3 linked regions of the Coturnix japonica genome follow. The protein of the gene in region 2 interacts with the protein of the main gene of each other region in a pairwise test. Links are inferred from orthologs where the notes say so. Each region holds a gene or a part of one and is shown on either strand. Other genes may lie near its edges.

The links. The genes of interacting proteins can lie anywhere in the genome.
Region 1: the proteins of PRKAB2 (region 2) and SPRY2 interact in binary tests that used the Homo sapiens proteins (3 or more experiments, as listed by UniProt). The link is inferred for Coturnix japonica from reciprocal best matches to the Homo sapiens genes PRKAB2 and SPRY2.
Region 3: the proteins of PRKAB2 (region 2) and BEN domain-containing protein 5-like interact in binary tests that used the Homo sapiens proteins (3 or more experiments, as listed by UniProt). The link is inferred for Coturnix japonica from reciprocal best matches to the Homo sapiens genes PRKAB2 and BEND5.

Annotation. Positions count from the first base shown.
Region 1 is NC_029516.1:136,861,073-136,865,372, reverse strand, and holds the start of SPRY2 (protein sprouty homolog 2), read right to left. Parts: upstream 2,801-4,300; 5' UTR 2,048-2,800; intron 1,813-2,047; 5' UTR 1,737-1,812; intron 1,618-1,736; exon of another isoform or gene 1,522-1,617; intron 433-1,521; exon of another isoform or gene 1-432.
Region 2 is NC_029523.1:4,168,125-4,172,233, forward strand, and holds the start of PRKAB2 (5'-AMP-activated protein kinase subunit beta-2), read right to left. Parts: upstream 2,801-4,109; 5' UTR 2,726-2,800; intron 2,219-2,725; exon of another isoform or gene 1,580-2,218; 5' UTR 1,564-1,579; coding exon 1,402-1,563; intron 1,076-1,401; coding exon 909-1,075; intron 5-908; coding exon 1-4. Other genes in the region: dimethylaniline monooxygenase [N-oxide-forming] 5-like, read right to left, coding at 3,099-3,462, 3,537-3,609, 3,940-4,109. UniProt on the Homo sapiens protein: Non-catalytic subunit of AMP-activated protein kinase (AMPK), an energy sensor protein kinase that plays a key role in regulating cellular energy metabolism.
Region 3 is NC_029523.1:20,985,405-20,989,694, forward strand, and holds the start of BEN domain-containing protein 5-like, read right to left. Parts: upstream 2,801-4,290; 5' UTR 2,755-2,800; coding exon 2,712-2,754; intron 1-2,711. UniProt on the Homo sapiens protein: Acts as a transcriptional repressor.

The DNA of each region.
Region 1 (4,300 bases), on a different chromosome or scaffold from region 2:
GGAGCGCAGCAGGTGGGACGCGGAGCCCCGTGGCTTCAGGCGGCGGCCCCGCGAGTGCAGACAACCTGGAGATTAACAGGAGACATCCCCGGGCCGGGAGGTGGGAGGGGGCGGCCGCAGTCGCCTTATCAGGAAAGTCAAACCCATGTTTCCTTTTAACTCTTCCCCCCTGCCCTCCCCCGGGAGATGCTCAGGAAGCCTTTCCCGGCCGGGCAGTGAGCGGCGCCCCGCAGACGCTTGGAGACAGAACCTCCGGGACAGCCGGGCAGGAGGCAAATTGCCCCCCCTCGCCTTGCCCTGAGCGCTCATTCAGCCGCCAGAGAAGAGAACTGCCCGAACTTGAGCCTCCCGCCCCTGCCCAGGAGGCACTGTCAACCCGAGCCGGGCCATGTTTCCTTATTCCCCCTGACAGACCCTAACGGGACAGGATGTAAACCTCCAGCACCTTTATTTGCAGCCATGCCCGAAAGCTCTGAGAGAAAGCACGACTCTCCCTATGACCCAGCACCCTTCCAGCGCTTGGCCTTCCTGTGTGTGCATGTGGGCGATAACACCGTTCCCCACTTCCAGAAGCCAAAGTCCACTCTCGCACAGCTCAAGTGCCACGACCGCTGCCTACTCCTGGCTGGGATTGGCAGGAGGGCGAGCCGGGGGGGTGGGGGGGAGGCAACTTTCGTCTTCGCACGTCCGAGGAAGTGGCAAACTCAAGGGGCTTCTGCGTGCTGCGTGTGGAAAATCCCCGCATCGCGGAGGGGGCCTCGGGGGAAGAGGTCCCTGCCCGGGACTTACTGTGCTGTGTCCGGAGCCGCGCAGTACCCCCACCCCCACCGCCCCGCAAACACCCCCGTCACCGTCTCTGCTTTCACAGTGCTTTGAAACCCACATTAAGAGCAGAGTGTGCCATCAGACTCTGGATTAGGGCAAAAGCGACTTTACATCAAGGTTGGGCAAGCTGACATACAAGTAACATGCTGAGAACACCAGCAGATAAATATATATATCGGGGAGGGGGGTGGGGGGATGGGGGCCTGTTACACAGTAAACCCCCACAAAAAAAGTCCTTCTTCCCCTCCACACACACACTCTGCAAAGTAGAACCTGGGAGTGAAGTTTCCCCGTCTCATGAATCGAATTAAGTTTCACCGCACGAGAAATACGCACGCACCCGCAGCCGCACAGATGTATTTACACACCAGCCGTGCACTCACTTCCGAATGGCACGGATCTTCCCGACGCCACCACACACGGGCGTCAATCACGGCGCTCCCCCGGGCCGGGGGTACCGGCGGCCTCGCAGCGCCCTCCCTGCGCCTCCCCCGGGGCAGCACCGCCCGTGCCCGGCTCCCCGCAGCCGGGAATACGCGGCCCCCGCCTCCCCGCAGCCCCCCGGGCACGCGTGTACGTTCGCGCAGCCTTCCGCCCCCGCGCAGCCTCGCGCCCCCCGGAGCACCGCGACGAGGCGCAAATAAAGCGCAGCCCGCAAAACCCTCCCCGGAGAGAAAAAGAGCTCCGAAATCCCACCTCCGGCTCTTCTCTGGGAAAGGAAGGAGAGGGGAAAGGGGGAGAGGGAGAACCTGTGCGAGTGGAAAAAGGATCGGCCTCAAACATTTCCACGAGTTTTCTTGGAGCAGCGCTGAGGGAGGAGAGGGGGGGGGATACGAGGGGGAAAAGAGGGGGGGGGGGGGTTGCGGGGGTTACTGAAAAGCTTGTTTTGCAAAGAAGGAAAAGGCTCTCACCGTGATCGCGGCGCTGCACCAAACCCCTCTCTCTGTTGTATTTTCTTCTTCCTGCGGTTTGCAAATAAATCCAGCCCTAAAGCAAAAAAAAAAAAAAAAAAAAAAAAATTCTTTTCCAAACTCTGCTTTCGTCCAACTTGCAAATGAGAATCAGAACGATCGGCTTGCAAAAAAAAAAGTCCGGAGTAAAGTCAGTCCTCCCCTCTGCCCAGCTCGACTGTAAGAACGTGTGTGCGCCTATGTGCTATAGTAATAATCAGAACACCTCTCCGGATCTGGGTGGGTTTTCTGTTCTCCTCCAAAGAACTCACTTCTCACACACTTTCCTTTTTTTCTCCCTCAATGAACAGGAGGCCGAACCGCCAGCACCGAGTCACCTTTCTTTTTTTTTTTTTTCCCCTTTTTTTTTTTTTTTTTTTTCTTGCTGCCGTTGCAAAGGATCGAGAGGAAGGAGAAAGCCACAGAAAACAAAATCAAGTGGATCTAAAATCCGATGGCAAAGCTTTCTTCCAGCGAACTCATCCGAGGAAGCAACAGCAGCAGCAGCCGGGCGGGGGGGGGGGGGGCCGCGCTGCCGAACGCCGCTCGCCGCACGCTCCTCTCCCTCTCTCCCTCGGCTTTCTCGCTCCCTCTGCGAGCGTGTGTGTGTGTGTGTGTGTGTGTGTGAGTGTGTTGCAGGCGGCTCTGCGGTTTGCGAGCGGGGGGGTGGGGGGGGTGTTTGGGGAGCGCAGCGGATTTGTGGTGGTGGTTGTTGTTGTGTGTTTGGAGGAGGTGGAGGAGGAGGAAGGTTTGAGATCTGAGCTGGAGGGGCTCGGCGTTTTTCTGCTCGCTCTCTCTCTCCCTCTCTCTCTTTTTCTTTCCGGAGGAGGTAGGGTGATCTCTCTGCAAAAGCAGCAGTAAATGGCGTCATGTGGATCTGAGGAGGAACAGAGCAGTTGTTGTCCCAGAGGATATATCGCATCCGGTCCCAGCTCATTGGCTCTGCGGGGCTACATTCACTGGCGCTCCCAGCGCCCTGCCAGCACTCCGAGCTGCGGGAGGCATTCAAAAGGGCAGCGCTACCGCCGCTTCCACCACAATCGCGGCCCCGCTCCCGGCCCCGGCCCCGCTCCCGTCGGGCCCCGGCGCCGTGCGGAGCCCCGCGCCCCTCTCCGGGCCCGGCCGCAGCCTGTTCTCGCAGGAGGCAGCTCCGTGCGCGGTCACACGGCGCTCGGGGCTGCTTTTGTGCTCGCGTGTTTATCCAGGGGCCAGCAGCGATCGGGCTACAGGGCGGTCGAGGGGAGCTGCTTTCCCTGGGGGGAGCGGGAGACCCATTCCCAGGTGCTTCCCCTCCCCCAGCCATGTTTTCTTTTTTTTTCCCTTTCTTTTTATTTTCTTTCTTTCTGTTTTTTTTTTTGTTTTTTTTTTTTTTAATCCCCCTCTATGGAATAAAAAGTTTAAACTCTCTGCTCCCTACCCCCCCAGCCGGCAGCAGGAAGGGCCGCTTATTGCCCGCGGCATTGTGCCGCGGATTAACGCGAGGAGGCGGCACGGCGGCGCGGAGCGGGGCCCGCGGGGCAGCGCGGGGCGGGCGGCGGCAGGGGCACAGCGGGGTCTCCAAGAGCCCCCCGGGGGGTGTTTCTCAGCGTCGTTCATTTGTAATTTCGCTCGCTTTTATGAAACTTCCATTGTAATGGATTCCCACTCGTGTACGGGACGCGGCCCACGGGCAGCTGATAGAAATGGCTGTTTGTGAGAGAGGTTCCCTTGATATGGGAGCAGCCGGTCATCTCTGCACGGGCTGCAGTGCCGTCAGGCCTGGGCACCCCGCGCCGCCAGCGGGTCTTTAAAGCGCGCACAGCGGCGTATCCACGTCGGCATGCACAGAGCGCTCGTACACCCCTATCACGTGTGGCCCTGCTTAAAATATACCCGGCGTGCCGAGCAGCGATGTGGCGCGTTATTTACATGAGCAAATTCTCGGGGCGAAAGCCCTGAGAGCTCTTCTTAATGCTGGGAGGCAGTTGGCAGCGCTTCCTCTTCTCCACCTGCTGTCATCGCTGCTTGAGAGAGGGGTCACTGTTAATAAAAATGGGGTGGGAGGATGAGGAGGGGGCGGAGAAGGCTATGTAGTACTATGTACTAACATTATGAAGCTGAGAGTTATTTCTCATAGTTTCTCTATGGGACGACCACAGCTCTGCGTTCATCCCTTCATGCGGCCCTAGTAGATCCACGGGGTCACCAGTGATGAGTGGGATTTGCTGAGTATGAACCTGGGCATCCTCAGAACTGTGTGCTACGTTCAGGCTGCGCCGGGAAATCCATGGGATTCATCCGGGAGGGATGAGCGCGGGTTAGCATAGGAACGGGAGAAGAATGATGTTGATTTCACTTCACTGTGAAGCTTAGTAAAGGCAAAAATAGGTAATGGACAACATGTAGAAGCTTATGGACGAGGGAAAGCCTGCTTGATTTTTTTTCAGGATATAAACCAAGCACAGAAATAGTGTATAAATTAGAAAATCCACCATACTGTGTTTTACAGAGAAATCAGAAGTTTAAATGCCAGTTCTAAAGTACAG
Region 2 (4,109 bases):
GTGGCTGTGCAGAGAGAACAGATGTACAACACCATTACTGCAGTGATGCTTTGGATGCTGTCCCAGAGAAGAGCACTTTGTCATGCACTGCCTGCCCCCTCGACCCAAACACCCATGTGCTGGGTTAGGATTGCTCATCACTCAAGGCATGGCCAGAGCAGGTGCGAGTGCCCAGAGCCCCAGGATGATTCAGATCCCTCAGGGCCCATAGAATCGTAGACTCATTAGGGTTGGAAAAAAACACTAAGATCATCTGTTCCAATCAGGACACAAGGCAAACAGGAGCTCAGCTTGCAGCCCTGCCCCACACATCGTGTGGGATCACATGATGGCAAGTGCAAGACACACTGGACAGGGCGAGTGAACAACGAATCTAAACCTGTGCTGGTACTGCAGGATGAAAGCATGAAGTGCCTGTGAAGTCTGCAGTCGAGATAATCCCGTGGCAGGTATTTGCTGGGATTATGCCCAGTCCTACATAGTGTTTCCACAGAAAACACAGGTGTACTGCAGAACAACGAGGACACTGCTATGGAAGGAGGACAGGTGAGGGACAACCAAACAACTCCCTCTAGCAGCAACACAAGCAGGCAAGGAGAAGGGCCACCAAGCTTCAGAGAGCTGCAGCACACCTGGGCAGGGCCCTGCTGCCAGGATGGCTGCTGTGTGGCATGTAATTGGGAAAGCAAGGAGGCCCATCCTGTCCTGTCCCATTTCACAGTTTCTCCCTACCACTGCAGCAGCCCCCAGGCAGGATGCTGGCTGCATATTTGTGCTCACACCTCGAGCTCGGGCATGATGAACTGTGAGAAGCCAGGTTGGGCAAAGGGAACAGCAAATGGCACTGAGAAAAACGCTCCCTGCGACTGATGGAGGAGAACACGGGGTGAGCCAAGGGGTATAGCTACCTCTTGATGAGCGGGATCTTGGTGCTCCAGTTGTTGAAGGATCCAGAGATGAAGACCTCTTTGCCTCCATCAGCCCAGCGGATGACAGTGGGCCGAGCCTGCTGGGATGGCTTCACTGACTCCTCCAGGTCAGGCTGCCATGAAACAAACTCCTTGTCCCCTGGAATCTGAGCAGAGAACACCAGAGCCGTTTCATTTCCCTCCACCTCCATTTGCACATTGCAGACAATAGTAACCTCAGGCTGGGCAGGCAGCTCCACCCATCCATCCCAGGAGATGTTTCTCCTGTGTTGCAGCTCAGCTTGTGGTTCCTGCTATGAAAGCTGTACCCCGGCACACTGCCACCCTGCCTGTATTTAGCTTGAATTAAACAGAGGGCTGCTCCCAACCAAAAATCCTCTCCTTGAAAGCAGCCTCAGCCCAGCACAGCCCCCTATGGGACACCACCCAGCACCCGACGTGAGGACAACAAAGGCAGCAGCCAGCCCCCTACCTTGGAGTCGTGGGAGCTGAAAACACTGGGGTCATCTGTGCTGCCCACCATGATCTTGTGTGGGTGCTCCTTTGTGGGATGGGCAGCGCCGGAGCCGTCGGAGCGGTGGGACTTGGAGCCATGGCGCTCACCGGACACTCGCTCGCTGGTGGTGTTTCCCATGACAGCTCAGCAGCCGCTGTGAGAGGGGGAAGAAGGCAGTGTTGCCTATGTCCGTGGGCTCCAGCAGGGAGCAGGGTGCTGCTTCCCGCTGCCTTTTGCCAGCACAGAGTGACAGCAATCCTAAAAAAGGCCCAAAGTTCTTCCCCGATGCCAAGTTTGGGAGCCGAAGGGGAATTTAACAAGCGAGACAGGCTGAACTAATTATAGGCATACCCTTATGAGCCATCGTGATAGTTAAGCCGGTAATTGTTATACCCTAAAACAAAAGTGAGTTAGACCACATCCTACACAAGTAGAAGGGCTGATGAGAGAAATAAAGCCACCCTTGAGTGGCAGATTGTCTCCCGGCACTAACAGAGCCTCTTTCACAACCCCACAGTCAGCCTGCACAGAACACAACGCTACAGCCAGCAGGAAAACAGCCGGAGAGTGAAAGTAGCAGCTGTTAACAGCTCCCAACGAGTGTGGGTGAGCCTGCGGGCAGAGCAGCACGGCTTCACGGCTGGCACAGCAACAGTGCTGCAAGTAGCAGGAGTGGAATCGGCCAGGCTGGAGTGCGGCCAGGGCAAGGAGTAACAACACGGTGTGTGCAGGCTGTGCTGCTGAGCAGGCTGCGCTCATAGCCGACCCCAGGGCTGCGTGTCTGCCCAGCGCCGGGCGATACATGGGCTGAGCCCATCGCTGGGGCAGCCGGCTGTGTTCTGCAGGGAGCCAGCCTTGATTCACTGGGTGCGTTGTGACAGCTGCGGATTTGCTTAGAACATCAAGCTATGTGCGGAGGGCCGGGTGAGGCCGCCAGCCAAAGCCTGGCTTTAAACCATTACGGGGCAATTACTCGAGTATTCCTTAAGCCCTCAGAGGGCAGCGAGCCCACGGCTCACCCCACGGCAACGATGAGATGTGCAGGGCCGCTGCAGCACCGCCCGGCACAGTGCCGGCCATAGCGGTGTCACCGGGCGCGGCGTTACGGTACCAACGGCACCGACACCCGCACCACCGCCCACAGCGTCACCCCCCGCACCGCCGCCCTGACAGCCCCACCCCCTGCCGCCTCCTGTCCGCTCCGGGCCCCCCGCCCCGCCGTGACACCCAGCACCCAACCCGGCCCCACAGCACACGGGGGCAGCGCAGCCCCCCATGGCAGCCCCGCTCGCAGCCCCACCTGCCCGCCGCCGCCGCCGCCGCCCCGCTCTCCGCCTCCGATCAAAATGGCGGCCGCCTCCACCGCCAGCCTCTGCGGGGCGCTCTGTCCCGCCCCCGCGCTGCTCTCTATGGTACCGGGCAGCCATTTTGTTTGAGGGCGGTGTGGCTTCCGGGAGAGCGGCCATCTTTGCTGTGGGAGCGCGGCCTGGTGCGAGTAGTTTGCGTTGTGCAGTGCGGGCGTTAATGAGCGCAGCCCAGAGCCTGAGCCTTCATGGAGAACAAGGACGAGCTTTATTGCCTTTCTCATGAGGAAAACGTGCCCCGTGCCCCTCCCAGCGACACCGAAACCCAAGGCAGAGTTAGGGGATGGCCAAAGCCCTCTTCACTAGGGGCTATGGGGACAGCGAGACGTAGATGAGCGTGGCCACGATGAGTCCGAGGCTGAAGAGGACCTTGAAGCTGTGTGGCACCGAGCTGCAGGGCGGCACAGAGCGGCCGTGCCCGGCCCTGCCCCGCAGCGGGTGCTCCACGCGCTGCTGCTGAGTCAGGATGGCCTCCCGCGCACCCTGCCATGCGCCGGGGCCATGCAGGCGGTACTGGTAGGGCGTGCAGGGCCCCAGCAGCACCTCCAGCGCCAGCCTGGGGTCAGTGAGGAAAAGCAGCGGCACGTTGGGCTTGACGCCCAGCTGGCAGGCGAGCTCGTCCATGTAGGGGATGTAATCCACCTGGATGGTGTGCCGCCGGCTGGCCACGTACCTGTGGGCAGGGACAGGCTCTGTGTGTGCTCATCGAGGAGGTGGTGGCAGGTTGGTGCCCCGCAGGGTTCTTACCGCTTGGCTATTTTCTCCTTGGCTTGTGTGATGTCAGCCAACATGGTGCTGGTTGGGGGCAGCTTGTGCAGACCTACAGAAGGAGAAGCAGAGAGCTGTGCTATCAGCAGTTGTGTCCCTCTGCGCCCAGCGTGGCTGCTGTGCCACAGGAAAAGCCTTTGGGCCACCAAATGGGGCAAGAGAGAGGCATGGGCAAAGAAATAAGAGAGAGAAAATGGTTTGCAGGTGAGGAGATCCATTACCAGCTGTATGTGATGAAATAAAGTGCAACACTTGTTGCAAAATGCAGTGATGTTTTATATCCCTTCATAGAAGGATGATAAAAGGAGGAGCACATGCCAGCAACTGAATAATTTGGCCTTGCCATACCCAGAGAAGTGCATTCCCGGCTCGCCTCGCTTACCCTTAAAGACACGGGTGGCCCAGCGGCTCTGCATCTCCGAGATGGGCATGATGGCTCCCAGAGGCTGGATGTAGCCAATGAAAGCCAGCGTCGGCTTCTCCAGGTCAACTGGGAACATAAACTTGTAGAGGGGGACCTGATTCTCCACCACCTTCACATAGTCCTCAAGG
Region 3 (4,290 bases), about 17 Mb from region 2:
GGAAGGAAGGAAGGAAGGAAAGGAAGGCAAGGAATGAAGGAAGGAAGGAAGGAAGGAAGGAAGGAAGGAAGGAAGGAAGGAAGGAAGGAAGGAAGGAAGGAAGGAAGGAAGGAAGGAAGGAAGGAATTAAAATATTGAAAGATTTTATAAAGAAACAATAACTACAATGAGCAGTGTATGAACAATTAACTTTTAATTTCCTGTGAGAAACAAATAAGGAAATACTAATAAAACTGAAATACAAACTCTTACATGACCAAAAGGTATGTTTTCCGTAAAGTATAATTGATATACAGAACCTCTTGACACAGCGTACTTTCAAAACTAAACTTAGGTTGAAAACACCTCAGGTGCATGTAAGCAAACAAGAATATAATGAACTCCATAACACAGAGTGATCTGTGTTGCCGTAAAGCATAGGTAAGTTACCTTCAGAGTTCCTGTAGTGCTGTTTTCTCGTTTGAAAATAAGAAATAACAATACTTCAAGAAGAAAAGATAGGAGAGCTATTATTTGTGTCTTCTGACTCAGGAACAGAAACATTTGCCAAAAAAAAAATAAAATGTAACAGCAAGTGCAACAGAGCCACAGTGGCTAAATCAACTCAAGTAGTTTGAACAAGGTTGTTCTTTCATAGCTTTGTTCTCCCTGCAAACAATAGAATCAAAGAATCATAGAATCATAGAATCATAGAATCACCAAGGTTGGAAAAGACTTCAAAGATCATCCAGTCCAACCACACAGAAAAAAATTAAACGTGTGTGAAATGCAGGACTCAGAGCTGGACTCACATCTCCTCAAGAATGGCCCAAATCTGACAGAGCGTGATGACATAGGAAGTAGGATGTGACATGAACAAGAATATTCCCTACCTACAATATATGACATCAGTGTTGAAAACCTAAACTAAGTGCAGTGGGAGACAGACGCTTCTTCCAGAGCCTACTTTCTATGCCCTCTCTAAATAAATGGGCCAAGACCACTACTTTCTTTCATTCAGTTTCCTCAAGTCCCATTAAATTGTCAGGACTTTTTTCCTATTTTTGTAGCTTTTTGCATTGAAGTTACTCAGCCAGTAATCCAGACAGGGAGGGGGCTGCAAATTAGAGCTTCAAAACAGTCAGAGAGGCACTGAAAAACTGAGATGAACATGTATCAAGAACATGCAACAAAACTTGATTTCACCACAAGCTCATGGAACGGGTGCATGTACAAGAAAATGATGGATTACCCAGTTGGAATGGGCATGACAGAGTTAAAAACAGAAACCAAATATTGTAAAGATACAGATTTAAAGAATATAGCAGGAAACTCAATGTAAAAGTAACTTTATGCAATAATCCAGAAATAGTGAGCAAGTTCTACCATGTTATATAGAACATTCCTGGCAAGCACATAGGCATAGGTGGATGAAGTTTGCTGAAGAGCTGACAAAGTCAAACGGCCACTGGAGATGTGTTCCATTACACGGCGCAGTCAAAGCAGATCAGCTGTGTTTAGTACAGTGTTGTACAGCAGATGAAACAAATCACCTGCTCCATGGAAAGCTTAATGTATAAGAAACTTCTCAATGCTGTTTCAGGGCTTCGTAAAGAGTAGGCTTGAAACAGACTGGGAGTTCAAGAACCTTAGGCCAACCTATTCAGACACAGCCTTTGTAGTATTGTTTTTCAGAGGACAAGAGTATTTCACATATTTTTCACTTTATTTCACCTCGAGTGGTCCAAAAATCCAATGTCAGTTCTATGGATAGTGCATCTTCCATACACATGGAGCCACTTCTGGGGGATAAAAGCACATGCACAGCAGCACAGCAGGCAATGAAAATGAGCTTTTGGTCCAGGAATCTAGGAAATTCACGTGTATGATGCTGTGGGGGTATTAAACACTCAGAAAAGCCGTCATCACCTTTGTTTCATCCTCACAATGTTGATAGATTTTCCTAAGTTAGTTTGGGAGCTTTTGTGAGGTGGTAAAGGCCTTCATTGTGTTCTGTTACAATAGGAGAGACCCCTCTACCTAGACAATCCATACCGCACCTGAAGAAGCCCAGAACTTGAGTTCCATCCACAAACTTATCTTCACACACACAGCCAGAGCTATTGCCAGCAGGGGCATAATGAGACAATCCCACTTCACCCCTCGGCTCACATGCCATAAGTGCAGCGCTCCTTACAGACCCAAAGACAGGGCAGGCAGCACCTGCAGGTCAGCCCGGAGCCAGCAGCACGGCGGAGCGGCTTCAGTTCCAACATTCAGCCTTCGCGTATTATTTATTTTACACTCTAGGTAAGGCAGGGGAAGGTTTCTCGTGTGAGGGCACAGTCTTTGCTCTGCTCCTCACCACACCGCTCCGTCCCCTCTCGCGGCGCTGGCTGCCCCTCAAAGCCCCGCAGCCAGAGCTGTTCCCGCCGGGTCCTGAGCCAACCCGCGGCCCTTTTTCCCTGCCCCACGGCCACGTCGCCCCTGGAATGGGATTCTCCCCTCCTCTCAGCTCCCCGTGCTGTGGGCTCTCTCCCTGCTCCGGGCCCCCTCTGCACCTCAGAGCTTCCCTCCCTTTCCCCGGCGAGATGAGCTGCGTTACCCGCACTCCAGCTTTAAGGCTGCTGGAAGTAAGGCTTCCTCCCTGCTTGAAGCCCCTCTCCTTCATCCCCTGGAGACGGGGATCTCTTCCCCCCTCCCCCCGCCCAGGCGCCTGCGGCTGCACTGACCCGTCTCTGCCGTCCTGCTCCTCTCCGCCATATTTGTTGTCATCCCCTCAGCCCCCCCCCCCCCACCACGGAGCGAGACGCTGCCTGAGCTTCGCCATGGCAACGCACGTCACCGCCGGGGGAGCCCCGCGCTCCCCCTCAGCCCGAGCGCAGCCGCCGTGGAGAGACGGGAACGGAAGGGAGGGGAGAAGAGGTGGAGGGATGCTGCGCTGTCACTGCCCCCCGCACTCGAAAAGCCAGCCCTGGAGCGGCAATGGCTGAGCTGCCATCGCTGGGTTGCAGGTGCGCTACCGTCCCGCCCTACCGCAAAGCCCACACATTACGGAGCTGTTATTAGGGAGCCGCTTTTTCCCCCTCATTTTTTAGGGCAGCCCAGTGGGGGGCTTCATTATGAGTGTGTGTGTTGCCCGTCTGTCTCTCGCCCTAGCAGGTGAGTGCGACCATATGGCAAATACACTCAGGCTTCTTGGGGACGGGAGGGCTCCTACGTGCGCTGCAGGCCCGCTGGGTGACACCCACCATGTGGCAAATACAGCAGTGAGTTCTGCGGTGCAGAGAAGTTAATTATGTGTGTGTTTCCCCCAAGACACGGGGTGCTGGGTCTGACTGTGTCTCACTAACACGAGCTTGAGACAAAACCTTCATCACATGTCCTACAATTCTGTGATTCTGTGTGATGTCCTCTGCGAGGTTAAGCACGGGACAGGCGGTGTCACAAGTGCAAGCACAGATCCTTGAGTCACTTGTATTTACATACACAGACAGACACGAGGGGTGAGCACACACCAAACTGAGCGGCCAACTGAAATGGGAAGTGTGTGTGCAATGCTGAGCAGTGGAAATGGGCAAGACTGTTTATGACTACATAAACATTTATGTGTTTGCTTGCTTACAGCTAATAAATTAATGTTGCCACAGAGACCAGTGACCTGTTAGTGAAATGCTCCAAGCCTGAAAATCAAGGCAAGTGAAACTGCATCTTTCTCCACCTAAAGTGGTGTTATTTCAATATTACTTTACTCTCTGTCTTCCTATCTGCTATGTGCATTTTCTCCTCCAGTGCAACACCTCATAACAAGACTCACATGGTTCTACACAGCTGGATTTTTCTGTAGGGTCTGTTACCTCCTCTTCATTGTGTTTTTCCCTGGCTTCTGCAGCCTTGTTGATTCTTTCTTCAGTTCATACTGCTCTGGTTATTTTTCTCTTCATTCTCGACATATTTCTATACCACATCCACGGTCACAAGTTTTCAAACTCGGCCACATTCCTGTGCCAGTGACTGAAATATCTGTCTAAAATAGTGCACCAAGGGGGCTTTGTGATGGGGTTAGAAGTCCTGTTGGAACATGGATATTGTTCCTTGCTTTGTGCCAGCAGTCAAAAGCCATCGAGGGACATCTAGATTCAAGCTCTGGAAAAAATAATGTCTATATTTCTTCAGCCTTCATAAACTACAGGTGGTAACTAGGATACTGCAAAGGCTGGTTTGTCTCGCTGCTGACAATGAACCAGTGAGTACCCCACCCCATGTTCTCCATTCTCACCATTTCCCTGGGCCAGAAAATTTCCCAGGCCT